4 linked regions of the Oryctolagus cuniculus genome follow. The protein of the gene in region 2 interacts with the protein of the main gene of each other region in a pairwise test. Links are inferred from orthologs where the notes say so. Each region holds a gene or a part of one and is shown on either strand. Other genes may lie near its edges.

Evidence for each region.
Region 1: the proteins of UBAC1 (region 2) and RNF216 interact in binary tests that used the Homo sapiens proteins (3 or more experiments, as listed by UniProt). The link is inferred for Oryctolagus cuniculus from reciprocal best matches to the Homo sapiens genes UBAC1 and RNF216.
Region 3: the proteins of UBAC1 (region 2) and TRIM2 interact in binary tests that used the Homo sapiens proteins (3 or more experiments, as listed by UniProt). The link is inferred for Oryctolagus cuniculus from reciprocal best matches to the Homo sapiens genes UBAC1 and TRIM2.
Region 4: the proteins of UBAC1 (region 2) and CPSF6 interact in a two-hybrid assay, tested with the Homo sapiens proteins (2 studies listed by BioGRID and IntAct). The link is inferred for Oryctolagus cuniculus from reciprocal best matches to the Homo sapiens genes UBAC1 and CPSF6.

What each region holds. Positions count from the first base shown.
Region 1 is NC_091450.1:39,630,290-39,634,498, forward strand, and holds the start of RNF216 (E3 ubiquitin-protein ligase RNF216), read right to left. Parts: upstream 2,822-4,209; 5' UTR 2,659-2,821; intron 1-2,658.
Region 2 is NC_091432.1:236,896,779-236,900,978, reverse strand, and holds the start of UBAC1 (ubiquitin-associated domain-containing protein 1), read right to left. Parts: upstream 2,806-4,200; 5' UTR 2,603-2,805; coding exon 2,465-2,602; intron 1-2,464.
Region 3 is NC_091439.1:9,697,064-9,700,622, forward strand, and holds part of TRIM2 (tripartite motif-containing protein 2), read left to right. Parts: intron 1-7; coding exon 8-175; intron 176-3,559. UniProt on the Homo sapiens protein: UBE2D1-dependent E3 ubiquitin-protein ligase that mediates the ubiquitination of NEFL and of phosphorylated BCL2L11. Plays a neuroprotective function. May play a role in neuronal rapid ischemic tolerance.
Region 4 is NC_091442.1:71,555,844-71,559,869, reverse strand, and holds the start of CPSF6 (cleavage and polyadenylation specificity factor subunit 6), read right to left. Parts: upstream 2,808-4,026; 5' UTR 2,710-2,807; coding exon 2,650-2,709; intron 1-2,649. UniProt on the Homo sapiens protein: Component of the cleavage factor Im (CFIm) complex that functions as an activator of the pre-mRNA 3'-end cleavage and polyadenylation processing required for the maturation of pre-mRNA into functional mRNAs.

The sequences.
Region 1 (4,209 bases), on a different chromosome or scaffold from region 2:
ACCGAATTAAATCCACTCACCCTTCAGCCCTTCACTTCCTCAGAGAAAACCCTTTCCTATTCCCCTCCGTACACCGCCGCCCGCTCCGTGAACTCATACAGCATCCCTCAGCTGTCCAAAGTACTTAGCACAGTAGAAATGTCACTCGGTCACTCAGGACACTGCTCACCACGGCTCTCCATGCTAAACCTTCCAAGAAGGCGGGATCATCTGTTTGATTCATGTTTCTCGCCCCAGGACACAGCACGGTGCCAAGCACAACGCTGCCACTTTGGCAACACTTTGTGAATAGGCAGCATTCACAGGTACAGATGGACAACTAGTGAAAGACTCCGGAAACACTGAATTCAAGTCCTGACCCTGACCTTCAATGTGACCAAGTAAGCTGTTTTCAACATCTTAGTTTCTTCCCCTTAGAAATAGACAATGAGGCCAGTGTTGTGCATAGTAGGTTCAAGACCAGGCTGCTCCACTTATGATCCAGCTCCACGCTAACGGCCTGTGAAAGCAGCGGAAGATGGTCCAAGTGTTTGGGCCCCTACCACCTCCCATGTAGGAGACTCGGATGAAGCTCCTGGCTTTGGCCTGGCCCAATCCTGGCTGTTGCTGTCACCTGGGTAGTAAACCAGCAGGTGGAAGATCTGTCTCTCCTCTCTGTAAGCACGCCTTTCAAATAGGTATTTAAAAAAATATATTAAATAAAGATAATGGGGCCAGCAGTGTGCTGCAGTGGGTTAAACTGTGACACTGGCAACCTACGTCAGACGCCTGTTCAAGTCCCACGACACTTCCAATCCAGCACCCTGCTAAGGCACCTGGAAAAGCAGCAGCAGATGGCCCAAGTACTTGGGCACCTGCCACCCACGTAGGAGACCAGGATGGAGTTTCTGGCTCCTGGCTTCAGCCTGCCCCAGCCAGTTGGCAAAAACAATGGATGGAAGATCTCTGTCATTACACCTTTCAAATAATAATAAAAAACTAGCTGGCGCCACGGCTCACTAGGCTAATCCTCCACCTGCAGCGCCGGCACCCCGGGTTCTAGTCCCGGTTAGGGGGCCAGAGTCTGTCCCAGCTGCTCCTCTTCCAGGCCAGCTCTCTGCTGTGGCCCGGGGAAGGCAGTGGAGGATGGCCCAAGTGCTTGGGCCCTGCACCCCATGGGAGACCAGGAGAAGCACCTGGCTCCTGCCATCGGATCAACACGGTGCGCCGGCCGCAGTGGCCATTGGAGGGTGAACCAACGGCAAAGGAAGACCTTTCTCTCTGTCTCTCTCTAGCTCTGCCTGTCCAAAAAAAAAAAAAAAAAAAAAAAAAACTCTAGCCTGAAGTAAACCAAGACTCCACTAGTGAGCGTAATCAATACTAGCTCATCCTCCCGTCAGCAAACACTCCTCTCCCGCCCATCCTATCTGTATGCTTTCAGTCTCCGAGTCAGAACCCAAATCATTAGACTTTACTACAAGGCCTTCAAAGGTTTTTTTTTTTTTACGATTTACTTATTTGAAAGTTAGAGTTACAATGACAGAGGAAGAGACAAAGAGATTCTATCTGCTGGTTGACTCCCCAAATGGCCACAACAGCCAGGGTTTGAGCAGGGAGGCAGGAGCCAGACTCCTCCGGGTCTCCCACGCAGGTGCAGGGGCCCGACGACCTGGGCCACCCTCTGCTGCTTCCCCAGGCCACAGCAGGGAACTGGATCGGAAGTGGAGCAGCCGGGACTCCAACTGGTGCCCGTACAGGACGCCTGCAGCGGGTTAACTCACAGAGCCACTCAACAGCTCTCTCTTCAGAGGGGTCCCTGTGTGCAGCGTCTAGCGAGGGTTACGCAGGGGTGCAAACTCTGCCCTAAGCCCGCCAGCCTGCTCCTCCAACTCACCACCATGCCCTACCCACAGGGCACAGTGAATTAACCGGACACAAGGCAAAGCCACGGAGGCCACTGCTTAGGCGACCTCCCCAAGTCGGGAAGAGGCCGGGGGCTTTTCCCTGTCCTCTTCCCGCCTCCTTCCAGGGCACGGAGACGATGTTCTGTCTGCACGGTCGAATCCCCAAGGACGACTGCCCCCAAGTCGCCGACCGCGACGACTGGAGCTGGCACCGGTTCGGAGCGGCCGCCAGGCTCCACAGCAGAGGCCAGAGCTGTCTCGGGGCCGGGCCGCCCGCGCGCCCCGCGCCGCCCCGGGACCCCGGCCCCGCTCGGTGACAGGCGCCAACTTCCGCCGAGATCCCGGGACCGACGGCGAAAGGTCGGCACCCGGGGGCTGCGGGGAGCAGGGTTCAAAGTCGCGGTCCGCCTCCTCCGGCCGGCCGAGGCCGCGCGCGCGGCTGCACGGACCCCGCGGGTTCCAGCCCGGGACCGGCGGAGCGAGGACCCCCGAAACAGACGCGCGGGCCGCCCCGCGCAAACTTCCCGAAGTGGCGGGAGCGGGGCGCCCGGACGCCCGCAGCCCTTCCGCCCGCTCCAGCCCCGGCTCCAGCGGCTCGGCGGCGTCCTGAGCCGGGCCCAGACCCCGGCCCGCGCCCCCTCGGCCCGGCCGCCCTCACAGCCAGCCCCTCGCGGCCCTGGCCCCCGCCCCCACTCCCACAGGGACTCCCACCGGGCGGCGGGCAGACAGGCCGCCTCGCCTCAGGCCCCGCGGCCAAGCCGGCCTCGCCACCCACCTCGCCGGCTCGCGACGCGAGCTCGCCCGGCCGCCCGCCGCCGCGGCGTTCAGTCAGCTGGCTCTACCGCCGACAGGTCCGCCACCGCCACCGCCGCCGCCGCCGCGCTCCTTCCGGCCCTGCCGCGGCGTCACCTCGCGCCTGCGCACAGCGCCCCCTCCCGACTGCTGACAGGAAGAACCATAGAGGCACGCGGGGCGCTGGGGAGGAGAGACCATAGAGAGGGCCGCCTAGCCGCGCCCCCCTGCGGCGGGCCGCCCGCGGGGCCTCGACTCCCCCACGAGGCGGGAGGACGAAAGGACGGGAGGCCCCCTGCTCGACCCCTCTCGGTGGAGAGGAAGGGATTGGAGGGCAGGTGGCCGTGGGAGGGCCAGGTGCCCGCTTATTTGCAGCCCCCGCCTTTGGTAAGTCGCCCATCGCTTCCTCGCGAAGTGCCCTGACGGCTGCGTGCGTGCTGGGCGCTGTTCGTAGGAATGGCGGGTGCCATACTTGAGGAATACTGTGACGTTTTAGTTGGGCGGCCAAGAACTAACTAACAAGACTGACTCAGGCAGGGTGTGTTGAGGCCGCAATTCAACCCAAGGAGGGTGGGGGGAATACATAAAGCAATAATAAATAAATAAAGCAATGAGAAGGGGTAGTGTGGGTGGCTGGAGAAAGCCATTTCCCCCAGAAAAGCAGGTGTTTGAGCCAAAACTTTGAAGGCGGTGAGGGCTTGAGCCGTGGGGACCACCCGGGCTAAGAACACCTCCATAGAATGATCTGGAAGCGGGGAGGGGCCGCTGTGGCGCACTCAGCTTCCCGCGCGAGTCCGGGCGGCCCCACTTCCGACCCAGCATTCCTTTCTCCTGCTTCCCGGAAGTGCTCGTGCCCCTACCGGCCACGTGGGAGACCCGGATGGAGCTCTTGGCTTCCGCTGCCGCCATTTTGGGAGTGGGCCCGCGGGTGGGAAATGGCTGTCTCCCCTCCTCACTGTAACGTTGCCTGTCAGATAAAATACTTAAAAAACAAGGAGAGAGGGGCTGGAGGGTTAAAGCCCCGGCCTGCGGCGCTGGCGTCCCATACGGGCGCTGGTTTGAGGCCTGGCCGCTCCACTGCCGACCCAGCTCCCTGCTAATGTGGGAGACTCGGAGGAAGCTCCTGGCTCCCGGCTGCGGATCGGCTCAGCTCCGGCCGTTGAGGCCATCTGGGGAATGAACCAGCAGATGGAAGACCTCTCTCTCTGTCTCTGCCTAACTCTTTCGTTCAAGTAAATAAAAGTAGGGGCAGAGGCCCTGCACAGGCATGTGTCCTCCCTCCCCCCCAGGGCTGCAGCATCCAGGTGTTCCCCGCGGGGAGCAGGGGCGTGAGTGGTGTCTCCGGCTGCTGGGAGAGTGTAGAGAGGGCCGGGGAGAAGCAGGAAGGCCGGTCTGGGGCTACTGCAGGAGTCTAAATGGCAGACCGTGCTGGCAGACTGGTACGGTCGGGGAGGGGGAGGAGGCGGTGGCAAACGGACAGACCTGCAGGCTGTGTGGTGGCCACGCTGGTATCCCTTACGAAGGCGGGGCCCAA
Region 2 (4,200 bases):
CCAATCCAAAGCCAGGAGCCAGGAGCTTCTTCCAGGTCTCCCACGCGGGTGCAGGGGCCCAAGGACTTGGCCATCTTCCTCTGCTTTCCCAGGCCACAGCAGAGAGCTGGATGGGAAATGGAGCAGGCGGGTCTCGAACCAGTGCCCATATGAGATGCTGGCACTGCAGGCGGCCCACAGGGCCTCCAGGGCCCTGACACCCAGAGCACCTGGGCAGCCCGGGCAGGAGGAGCGGGACCCGGCCCCTCAGCACGCAGTGAGGCGGCACACGCGCTCCCCCATCCTGCCCCACCTGTGACCTGAAGGCTCCGGAAGCCACAGCGGCCTCCTGCCTCACACAGGGCACAGCTGTCCAGGGCGCACGCGCACCCAGCACCGCTCTGCTGGCGGCCGGACAGGGCCATCCGATGTGAGCACACGGCGACGCCCGGCACGGCCCCTCGGGCCCTACGCACCACACGGCACGGCCGGCGACCGAGCGGAACCCCCGCTTCCCAGAGGGGCCCCCGAGCCTGGGGCGGGAGCCCTGCTGGGGTGGCTCTTGTTCCAGCAGACCCCCAAGGCCCACCGGGACGGAGGGCGCGCGAGACGCCGCGGCACAGCCCCCGGGGGCTCTCCTAACACCGGCTCAGCGGGGGCCGTGTGCACTCCAGGACACACCCACGCCGGGACCTGCCGCGCCATCCTGGTGGCCTCCCCCTCCCCCCACAGGCCCAGAGCCCGGGGGCTGCAGGCACACACGTGAGCACGGGCACCCCGCGGCACCCAGCGGCACCCAGCGGCACCCAGCGGCCGCCCGGGCACTGCAACGAGCCGCAACTGAGGGATCGGGAGGGCCTGAGCTGCCACGAGCCACGAGCCACCGAGCCACGAGCCCCAGCACGCACGCCTGCCACCCGCAGCAGAGGACCCCACACCTTCCTGCGACCCTCGCGTGCTGGCGCGGCGCGTGGGGGCGGCGTCGGGCCTGCGGAACCACTGCACGACCACAGTACAGCCGGCGACACCGCGGCAGCCTGTCTTCCAGCTGACAGTCCCGCGTGGCCCGTGCGTGACGTGACAGACGTCCGGATGGCCCCTGCGCAGGAAGGTCACCACCCGACACCGGCGAGCTGCCGCGGCCCGTCCGGAACATGGCCCACGAAGCACTTTCCCCCACAACCCGGCGCCCCGGACAGAAGCCAAGGCCTCAGCCCGGCCCTGGCCACGGCCACCTCCCGCCCCTGCCCTCGCACGCGCTGGGCCCGCTGCCAGCCCTCCCCGAGCGCCGCCCACAGCCGTGCGTCTGTGAGCTGGAGATAACGCCGTCACAGCACCAACGCCGTAACACCCAACTCCGTGGACGTCACCCCACCGAGAAACGCCGCCCAAGCGGCCACTCCCTCGGCTCCCTCAGCACCCACGCCACTCCGGGCAGCGACGCTGGGGCCAGCGACCCCGCCTGGCACAGCTGCTCCCGAGGAGCCGGGCCCAGAAGTCCCTCCCTCCCGGGGCAGCGGGGACACTGCCAGGACCACCACACCAGCCAGGTGACACTCTGGGCCTGGCTGCCCGGCGTGGACGCTCCGGACAGCCGTGGGGGCTCTGACCCGGAAGCCACACGGCAGACAGGAGACAGGGACGCCAGGGCCCAAACCCCGGGGACGAGTGAGCCTGGAGCCCCTCCTGGCCTTGTTCCGGGCGGGGGGCTCGGAGCAGGGGCGCTGACCCGCTCCCACCAGAGGCCCACGTGCCCTCCACCGAGGGCGCCAGGTGATGGCCGGAGTCCGCCAGCAGCCGCACCGGCCACACCTCGTCAGGAAATCATGGATTCGCATTGCACTTGAAGGGGGGGGCAGACGGAGAGAGACCCCCGTCCCTCGCGTCCGGCTCAGGCCCAGACGCCGGCAGCGGCCAGGGCTGGGCCGCCTCCCCAGGCTCCACGGCAGGCGGCTGGCCCCGACTCAGCCCGGCAGGGCCCCGCCAGCACGTGGGAACTCAGCTCCCGGGGGACACCGGGCATCCGGCAAGGGCTGCCGCCGGGGACGGACGGCCATCGCAGCTGGCCGCACGAGGGACGCCCGAAGGCCCCAAAGCGTCCGAACACCAGGCGGGGGAGCGCCGGGGCGCACGGGGGCCTCGCCCGCGCCTCCCCGGGGCAAGCGTCTCTGCGCGTAGCCCAGGCCTCCGGCTTAGGGGCGCGCGCAGGTGGCCAAGCCGGGCTGACCCACGCCCGCCGGGCACTGGGGGAGCCTCAGTCCGCCGGGGGACCCGGCGCGGGAGGCGGTGCGGGGCCGCGCGAGGGCGGGCAGGGCGCGGTGCGGGGTCGCGGTGCGGGGTCGCGGTGCGGGGTCGCGGTGCGGGGCAGGGCGCGGTGCGGGGTCGCGGTGCGGGGTCGCGGTGCGGGGGCAGGGCGCGGGGCGGGGGCGCGGGGCGGGGGCGCGGGGCGGGGCGCGGGGCGCGCGCGGCGGGGGCCCGGCCTTACGTGTCGCAGGCAGCGCTCCTTGAGCTGCTCCACCGACGTGTCCTCGCTCGCCTCCTCCTGCCACTCGGCGCCGTCGGCCGCGCAGATGTGCAGCCGCAGCACCTTGCCGGCGAAGATCTTCTCCTCCTGGACGAACATCGCGCCGCCGCCGCCCGGGCCTGCGCCCGCCGCCCGGGCCCGTGAAGGTCACCGCGGCGGGCGGGGCGGGGGCGGGGCCCGGCTGCCCACGCGCGCCTGGGCTGGGCCGCCGCCGCCGCCGCCCCGCCCCGGCCCGGCCCCCGTCGGCCCCGCGGCCCGTCACTCGCCGCGGCCCGAGCCGTCGCCTGGCTCCCGCCGCCGCCGCTGCCGCCGCCGCCGCGCAGGAAGTGCGTCACGCGGCGACTGCCCGGGGCATGCCGGGAGATGTGGTTCTCCGGCAGCTGCGCCGTGGCGGAAGTGCGTCACAGGGCGCGCCGAGGCATGCCGGGAGATGTAGTTCTGCGCGCCTGTCCCCGGCCCTGCACCTGCCGCGTGGGACCGCCGGCCGCGTGGGACCGCTGAGCGAGGACCAGTCCACACTGAGGTGGGCTCCGAGGGTGAAACACTCCAGAACTGACTTGGCGGGGAAAAGGAATGTAAAATATCTCAGTAATGGGGCCGGCGCTGTGGCTTAGCGGGAAAAGCCGCCGCCTGTGGCGCTCACATCCCACATCGGCGTCGGTTCAAGTCCCGACTGCTCTACTTCCCATCCAGCTCTCTGCTGTGGCCTGGGAAAGCAGTGGGGGATGCCCAAGTGCCTGGGCCCCTGCACCCGCGTGGGAGACTTGGATGGGGCTCCTGGCTCCTGGCTTGGATCGGCACAGCTCTGGCCGTTGCAGCCAGTTGGGGAGTGAACCATTGGATGGAAGACCTCTCTCTCTCTCTCTCTCTCTCTCTCTCTCTCTCTCTTTCTCTCTCTCTGCCTCTCCTCTGTGTAATTCTGACTTTCAAATAAATAAATCTTTTTTTAAAATCCAAGTAATGTTTTATTGGTTACATGTTGAAATTGTATTTTGGGTGTTTTAGGTTAAGTTAAATAATTAAAACCCAGCCACCAGTTTGTGTTTTTTGATACAATGGACACTAGAAAGCATAGTTGCACATGCAGCTGCCTTGTGTTTCGGGGGCGCTGTGCTGAAGTGGGGACCCCAGACCCTCGGGACCTAGAGTCTGGGGGAGGCGGTTTCTCACGTTCCACCCGAAGCCCCCCAGAGGGGGCCCAAAATCTTCCCGGTGCTTCTGAGGTGCCCTCGAGTTAGAGAGCCGCAGCTGCGCAAGAAGGCTGGCTCTGTGGGGCTGCCCTGTGGCCGTGTCCAGTGGGCTCTCTCTGTGGACGGGGCAGGATTCTCTGCTTGGCCGAACTTCAGTCAGGTCTGGGCCATCGGGGCCCTTCCTTGTAAAACCCAGTCGTTAAATTGTTTACTTGACACGAATAGAGAGTCTTCTTTATTTTAAGATTTATTTATTTTATTTGAAAGTCAGAGTTACAGAGAGAGACAGAGAGAGAGAGGTCTTTCATCCACTGCTTCACTCCCTAGTTGGCCACAACGGCTGGCGCACCGCGCTGATCCGATGGCAGGAGCCAGGTGCTTCTCCTGGTCTCCCATGGGGTGCAGGGCCCAAGCACTTGGGCCATCCTCCTCTGCACTCCCGGGCCACAGCAGAGAGCTGGCCTGGAAGAGGGGCAGCTGGGACTGGAACCGGCGCTCTTACATGGG
Region 3 (3,559 bases), on a different chromosome or scaffold from region 2:
TTTACAGATATTTTCCAACGATGGCCAGTTCAAAAGTCGTTTTGGTATACGAGGCCGCTCTCCCGGGCAACTGCAGCGGCCCACGGGGGTCGCCGTGCACCCTAGTGGGGACATCATCATTGCCGACTATGATAATAAATGGGTTAGCATTTTCTCTTCAGATGGGAAGTTCAAGGTAAGGTTGACCAACAGTTGGCCCCTGAACAGTAGTGAGAAGGAACAGGAAACGACAGAATTGTCTTTTGCTTCTTTAAGTTCCACATTATTGTTCAGCAATTCCGTATGCACAAAGACATCTTGTCATCTAAGCGTTACGAAGTGAGAGCCACAAGGCCGATTTCATAGATCTGCTCATATCATGTCTCCTAACTGTGACTTTGTGTTATACAGCAGTGTGAGATTTTCGGTCATTTTCTTAAACCACAGATTTATAGAGGAAGTTCCTGTTACTCATCCAACCTTTTGAAAAGGGTTAAGAGGCAGTTTATATTTTTCAAGTTAACCTGCAGTTGTCACTTGTGAGATCCCCTGTCTTTTCTCAGATGACAGAGAAGAAATAGAATTGTAAGGCGCAGTTCCTGCCCTTTAACTGCACAGGCTCATTGTGGAAGAAAGGCTAATGCACAGGACAGTTCATGTCAGCCTGCAAACAAATGGGTGTAACCTAAAGCCGCAGCGGTAGAGTGTGTGGTAGCAGGGGTTGGAAGGGAAAGAAAATCGAGCCTTAGTTCAGCGAGAAAAGTGTGAGCTGAGCTTGACCTTGAGGGCTCTCATCATTTGATGTGTTTGGTGTTCCTGCCACCATCGACTGTATGGAAATGCAAAACCAGCTTCTGTTTCCCCAGCAAGTAAATATCTGTCTCCTAGAACTTGAGTAGAGTCTAAGTGAGGTTTTATTTCAGGGTGCTGTGTGTCTCATCCAAAACAGGCAGCTAAGCCATGTTCCTTTGCATGCCTCTAGTAACCCTGTCTAAAAAAGGAAGTCTTCTGGATCAGCTGGGATTCAGGCTTCCTGACCCCTGGTGTTACTTCCTAAAGGCCAGAGATGCTGCTTTTCATAAGTCATCCTGGAATCCTGATGACTCCATGAGCTCATTCAATAGACTGTTCACTTGATCTTAGCCAAAAGGCCAGGAAGTGATCGACAGACTCTTACAAGAGCAATTTATATTTTCCTTTCTAACATCTTTGGCTCACTATGGTCACCTCATTGCTTTTATTAAATGAGTTACTTCCATCATTGGTAACCCTCAGATTGGAGCCTCTGGTTTGTGTGGGGTAACATCTTCTCAGTCTAGGAGAGCAAAAAGCTGTCGTTTTGAGTTCCATAATATTGCTCATACTTTTTCAATTGCCCTTGAAGTTTTTGTTCCACTAGAAATCTGATGGCTCCGTGGGTTGGCCATGTATACAGAAAGATCTCCTGCCTCTGTATCCCAAACTTCCTCCCCTTGTTCTGTGTTTTCATAATTGCATTGGTGCTAAGACATACCCAAATAGGACAGCTTTAATAGGAAAATTATTCAAGTGATATCTTGAAAGCATTTGTGTGGTTTAGAAGCAAGCCACTTGTTCCTGTTTCATACTCTATCAAAGCCACCAGTCTATAAATTCAGTAGCTTATGCTAAAAACAGGCTTTGCATATTGAGATAACAGTTTTATATCCAAGAGACCTCTCAGAATTAATCGTTTTTCATTCAGTGGTTCGTTAGTCGGCCAGTAATGGACATACTTCTTGGAAGAACTGGATTCTTAAGGTTGGAATACTATGGCTTTTAACTGGAATAAACACAAAGCACCCCACATCCCCAGAGGATTGGGGAGATGGAAATGGTATAGTTTCTGCAGCACCCTTTCTTACGATGGGTGTTGACCAAAACCCCAAGCGAGGGTAGAAGCACCGCAGGTGGAAACACTTTAGTACCATAGCAGGAGTTCATCCACGGGCAATGTCCATGCCACTAAATACCCAGAGATACTTGTTTTCTTCTTGGGTGGCACTTTGTAAAATTAAGCAGGTGCTGGGAAAGACATGCCTTTACCACCAACTCAGATTATTTCTGTTTGCTCCTAATGGTTCCAGAGATGGAACGCCTTGTCCCCTTCTCTTCCTTTTACTCCCCAGTTTTTTAGCTTCCCTTTTCATTCCTCTCTGCCTCCTCAAGTTCTTCTCCCTTCCTCTTGCTTCCTGACATGTCTTCCAGCTCATCTCGGAACCTTTTGTGATCAGAACAAATACAGAGGCCTCAAGCAGCCACCATTTTCTAAATGATCCCTTTCCTCTTCAATTTATAAACCTCTTTGTTGAGTTCAGCACTCTGATTCTTGACCGTTCCAAAGCCAGAGGCTAAGACATTTTTGTGTGCTGTTCTGTTTTAAGGTGGGAAACAGAGGCAGGCCAAAGGCAGTGATTCTGATTACACTTGGTAGGATCCACTGTGGCTAAACTAGGAGTGATGGAGGGAGAAGGAAAAGGAGTTTTGGTTAAGTGTTTAAGTTGTTCTTTTTATATGTCCTACCTGTTACTACACCACCATGTGATAGAATGGAAGTCGTCCTTTATTTTCTGTTTTTATTCTAGATGATTATCCATTCTGAGGAACTGCTTAAGTCCCTGATGCTAGGTGGTGATCATATGCTTAGTTTTTTTTTTTTAAAGAATTATTTTATATATTTTGAAAGACAGAGAGTTACAGAGAGAAGTAGAGCCAGAGAGAGGGAGAGAGAGAAGGATCTTCCATTCTGCTGTTTCACTCCCCATATGACTGCAGTGGCCAGAGCTGAGCTGATCCAAAGCCAGGAGCCAGGAACTTCTTCCAGGTCTCCCATGTGGGTGCAGGGGCCCAAGGACTTGGACCATCTTCTACTGCTTTCCCAGGCCATAGCAAAGAGCTGGATTGGAAGAGGAGCTGCCAGGACTCGAAACAGCACCCATAAGGGATGCCGGCACTGCAGGCGGGGGCTTTAACCTGCTGCGCCACAGCACCAGCCCCTATATGCTTAGTTTCAATAATCAGAGTGCCACCTCTTCCTTCTGACCTCTTACATTCCGGCAAGAATGTTCTCACAGAGCCCTTTCTTTACCTGCCGTCGTGTGACGAACAAGTGACAGTAACAGGATGGTCTCCTGGCCTCTGATCTTGGGGCTGGAGAACACAGAATCAGAGTCAGTGTTACACAGCAGATGTCCTTGCTGAGAAACCCCTTGTTCTCTCCTAGGTGACCATGTCGCTTTGCTCTCACAAGATCATATCTGGATCTCGCTCGTTTGTAAACTTACAAGAGTAAAGGGTGATACAGAGTCATTCTCTCCCCACTGTAGGAAAGCCCTCATTCCTGAATTACAAAATTTAAAACTACCTCTGTGGCTCATGTTCTGCTTCCATCAGACAGAGCTGATGCAGAGAGGAAACAGAAGGTCTAAAGAAGAAACTTCTGGGGCCGGCACTGTGATGCAGCGGGTTAACGCTGTGGCTTGCAGTGCCGGCATCCTATATGGATGCTGGTTCGAGACCCAGCTGTTCCTCCTCTGATTCAGCTCTCTACTATGGCCTGGGA
Region 4 (4,026 bases), on a different chromosome or scaffold from region 2:
TTCAAATAAATAATCTTCTTTAAAAAAGGAAAGTAATTCAAATTCTCCTTCGACTGAAGTAAATGCTCTCAATACGGTGACATCCAAAGACCTTCAATTTAAGAACTGCAGAGCACCCATGAAAAATAGCCGGGTCCCTTGTGCCTTCTCCTCTTCATTCTCTAGTCTTAAATTCATCTGGAGAAGAAACTCTACTACAATTTCACTAACTTATTTTCACCCCATCCCCAAACAAAATAAAGTTTCTTCTAGGATTGCTGAAAGTCTCACTGTGTGAAAGTAACGTTAGCAACATAAAAACGACGACAAATTTCATAAAAGCTATGACCAGTTAAAACAAGAAAATGGAAAATATACAGACAACACATAATCCCAAAGTATACAAATGCCATTAAAACTGCAGTTCACAACGGAAAAACAAAGATTTTTATAAATGTTTACAGCAACATAGGAGCCAAAATAAAGACTGGTTAAATCAGTACTGTACAACATTCTATCAATCAAATGTCATAGTTTACTACAAGCCATTAGTAGAAACAAGGTAACTGGTTCATAACGGAGTACAGATGAAATAAACCCATCACAAAAACTGTTGTGGTTACCTTTAATTTTAATAAGATTTCGAAAAATTATTTTGAAGATTTTTTTCCCCATTGGAAATGCCCAACAACTCTTCCGTGGTCATTTTGTGCACCAGAATTACCACAACAGGCAGATCAGAAGCCAATCTATAAAGTAGGTCCACAAAATTTTATGTCTTACCTCCTGCTTACTCAACACTAGTTACTGCACAAGGATAAGAAAGTATCACTCCATCCAGTTATCTGGATAAGCGAGAAGTCTTTCATAAATTAAGTATGAAAAAGCCTAAAAATATTTCATGAAGAGGCACTGAAGAAAGCTCAGTTTCTAAATCATGCAATTCTTCCTTCACTGTGCGTAGCAAGGTGAAGCAATGTATTTTCTTCAACCAAGATAGTCTTGAACTTAACTGCTCCTTTGCTTGCAGTTACAGGCCCTCTTTTGGATGCAATGTTATACTCGTTGGATAAATAAAAGACACTTCCTAGAGGTCTTTGTCTACCAACTTTAAAACACTGTGTAGCCCAAGGAAATTTTCTAACCTGTAATTGGCATCATGTATTCAAACCGTAAGCATAGTTTTAAAAAAAAAACACATTTTCAAACTTCACATTTGACTACAATGGGTTACATTTAAACACATACAGTCTTTAACAGCATAGGAAACACTTAAAGCCACTTGGAAATATCTTTTCTAATACTTAAACCAGAGACACAGTCATTCCTAAGATACAGAACAGTAATTCTGAGTCTGCATATTTGTAAAACTGTTAATGGAGGGAAAGAGAAAACAAAACAAAACAAAAAAAAACCACTTTAACCATGGGGATATTAAAACTTCGTATGCGGACCTGGAAGACATAAAAAAAAGCTTTTAGGGTGCACTGCAGTTGGGCACTATACATGTATTTAAAAAAAAAAAAATGAGACTAGAGAAAACGCAGGCTCGGAGCTCAAACGTCACTACTCCAGCAACAAACGAGTTCCTTTCCCAGGATGCTTGGCCAGTTGGTTCTCGCGGGCAACCGTGTCCGATGGGACACTGGAAAACCTGGCCGGCTCCTCCTGCAGCCTTTCAAACCCTAAGCAGAGCCCGGGCGGGGGTGGGGTGGGGGATCAACCACGAGCCTCCGAAAACAGGGTCCCACCTCGCACTCCGTATTTTGAAACTACACCTTGTCTACGTCTTCATCACGCTCATCTGGGCGTGAGCAACCATCTTTTTGTTTCATCCAAACCCCACTGCGCGCCTCCAATTCCTGGTCGCGGCCCCAGCCACTTATCTCCGCGGCTATTTTCAACACAAAGGCCCAGAACGGCTGAGACTAGGATGCACTGCAAGCTCCTCTGTTATTAACAGGGCACGGGCTTTTGCACGCAAGCGGCGGGCGCCCCAAATCCAAAGACTTGTTGCAAACGTGCTGGCACCGACGGCGCCTGCACCAAGTGGGACGGGCACGAGGAGGAGGGCGCCACGCCGAAAGCGGCCGGGAGCGTCCCGGAGACGGGGCGCGCGGAATACAAAGGGTCGTGAACGCGGCCTTCCATGAGGCGGCCGTGCGCGGACAGCGAGACAAAATGGAGCGACGGGAGGAATCGGAGCCCGAGCGGCCCGGCCGGGGAAGAGGCGGCAGGGGCGGCAGGGGCGGCGGGCGCGCGCCCCGCCGGGGCTTCCTCTTCCAGCCGGCGGCGGGGGAGGGGGCGCGGCGGCCCGTTCTCCCCGCCGCGCACACGCGGGCCCCGCCGCCCGGGCCTAGCGCGGCGGGAAAGCGCTCGCCGGCCGCCGCCAACAATGGGGAGCCCCGAGGCCGCGGCGGCGAGGGAGGGGCCAGCGGCGCCTGCACGGCGGCCCGCGACCGCGCTCCAGGCCCTGCGGCGGCTCGCAGCGCCCGCGGCCCGCGAAACGACGCGGTAGAACGAGGGGGCGAGGGGGGCGCCGGGGCCGAGTGGCGGCAAGGGCGCACGGTCTGCAGCAGCGTCGGCTCGCGGCCCGCGGCGGGCCCCCGGCGCGGCGTCCAGGCCGCAGCGTCGCCCGCGTCGGCGGCGCGGGCCCAGGCCCACACGTACCTGGTTGAACTCTTCGCCCACATCCGCGTAAATGTCTATGTGGTCCACACCGTCCGCCATCTTCCCTCGGCCTCGGCCGCCGCCGCCGCTGCCGCCTCCTGCAGATCCGCCCGCCGCGGCAGCAGCAGCGGATCTGGCGGCGGGGGCGGGGCGCGCTGCGTCACTTCCGAGGCCCGAGGGACCGAGGCGGGGGCGGCGGGCGGCGAGGGCGCTGCAGCGGGGCCGCTGTGCGGACTGGGAGGAGGAGCTGCGCCTCCTCCCGACGGCTGCGGCCGTTTGTTTTGTGCGTGGGGTTTGGGCTGGGGAGGGGGCGCGGCGTGGACAACTCGTGTCCCTCCGCTGCCGGCCTATACCGCTGGTTTCCAGAGACCGCCTTTTCGCGTGGCTCCTGGCACCCTCGAATGGTTCCCCCCCCAAAAAAATTTTTTTTCGATCCTCCGTTTTTCCTACGTTTCTCACATTCAGGGCTTCTAGCAGTGGTGGAAGTTCGCATTCCACGCGCAAATACGAAGCGTACGCTCCGGGCACTGGGAGCGCCGAGAGACGGGGAGCGATGTCCTCCTGCATCCTACCGGGGCAGCACTCGGCTCTGCCTGGTGCACGCTACGGACCCGTTGGTGGTCTGAGCTATTTGCATACAGTTTGTGTCTCCTTCGCCAGGCGTCGTTGGCCACTTTCCCGTCTCCCTCCTTCATTTTTTTCCCTGCTTAGCTCTGCAGTAGGTTTTCGCTGGCGTAGTTCAGCTGCTTCTCACTTGAATGCAATCACCTGGGAGCCCACCCAGCAAAGTCAAGGTAGCTGGAGGCCGGAGCCTTCTCTCTTAGAATTATAGAATGACCCAGCCAGAAGGGAACTGGGAAGAGTGTCATTAGGTACAAATAGCTCATTTACAGGTGAGAAAACAGGTCCAGGAGAACCTAAGCGATTCAACCGGGGTTCCCGTGAGAGCCTGTTGCCATCAATGATTTATTCAAAATGCCTCTCTAATTTGGAACACCTCCCCACCTTTCTTTCTTTTTCACTCATTTAAAATCCCATCAGGTTAGAATGTTTCCTCAGGTACAGACTGGCCAGAAATCATCTGCACAATAAATATAATAAGCCAGGGGACATTTGTACATATTGTAGTTGGGAAAGCTTGGTTGCATTCGGGGAGACCCATCTGGGGATATGGATGCAAGTCTCTAAGGTGCAAATTTCTACTGAGACGTTTTACCAGCTAGAAGACCTCAGTTGAATTATCTGCTCTCATCTTCAATCTCAGGCATTTTTAAAAAATGTATTTGTTTATTTTAAAGATAGAGTCCCAGAGAGGGAGAGCACAACAGCATCTAATAGGAGATGATTCCCGGTCTCACACAAGAGTGCGAGGGGGTC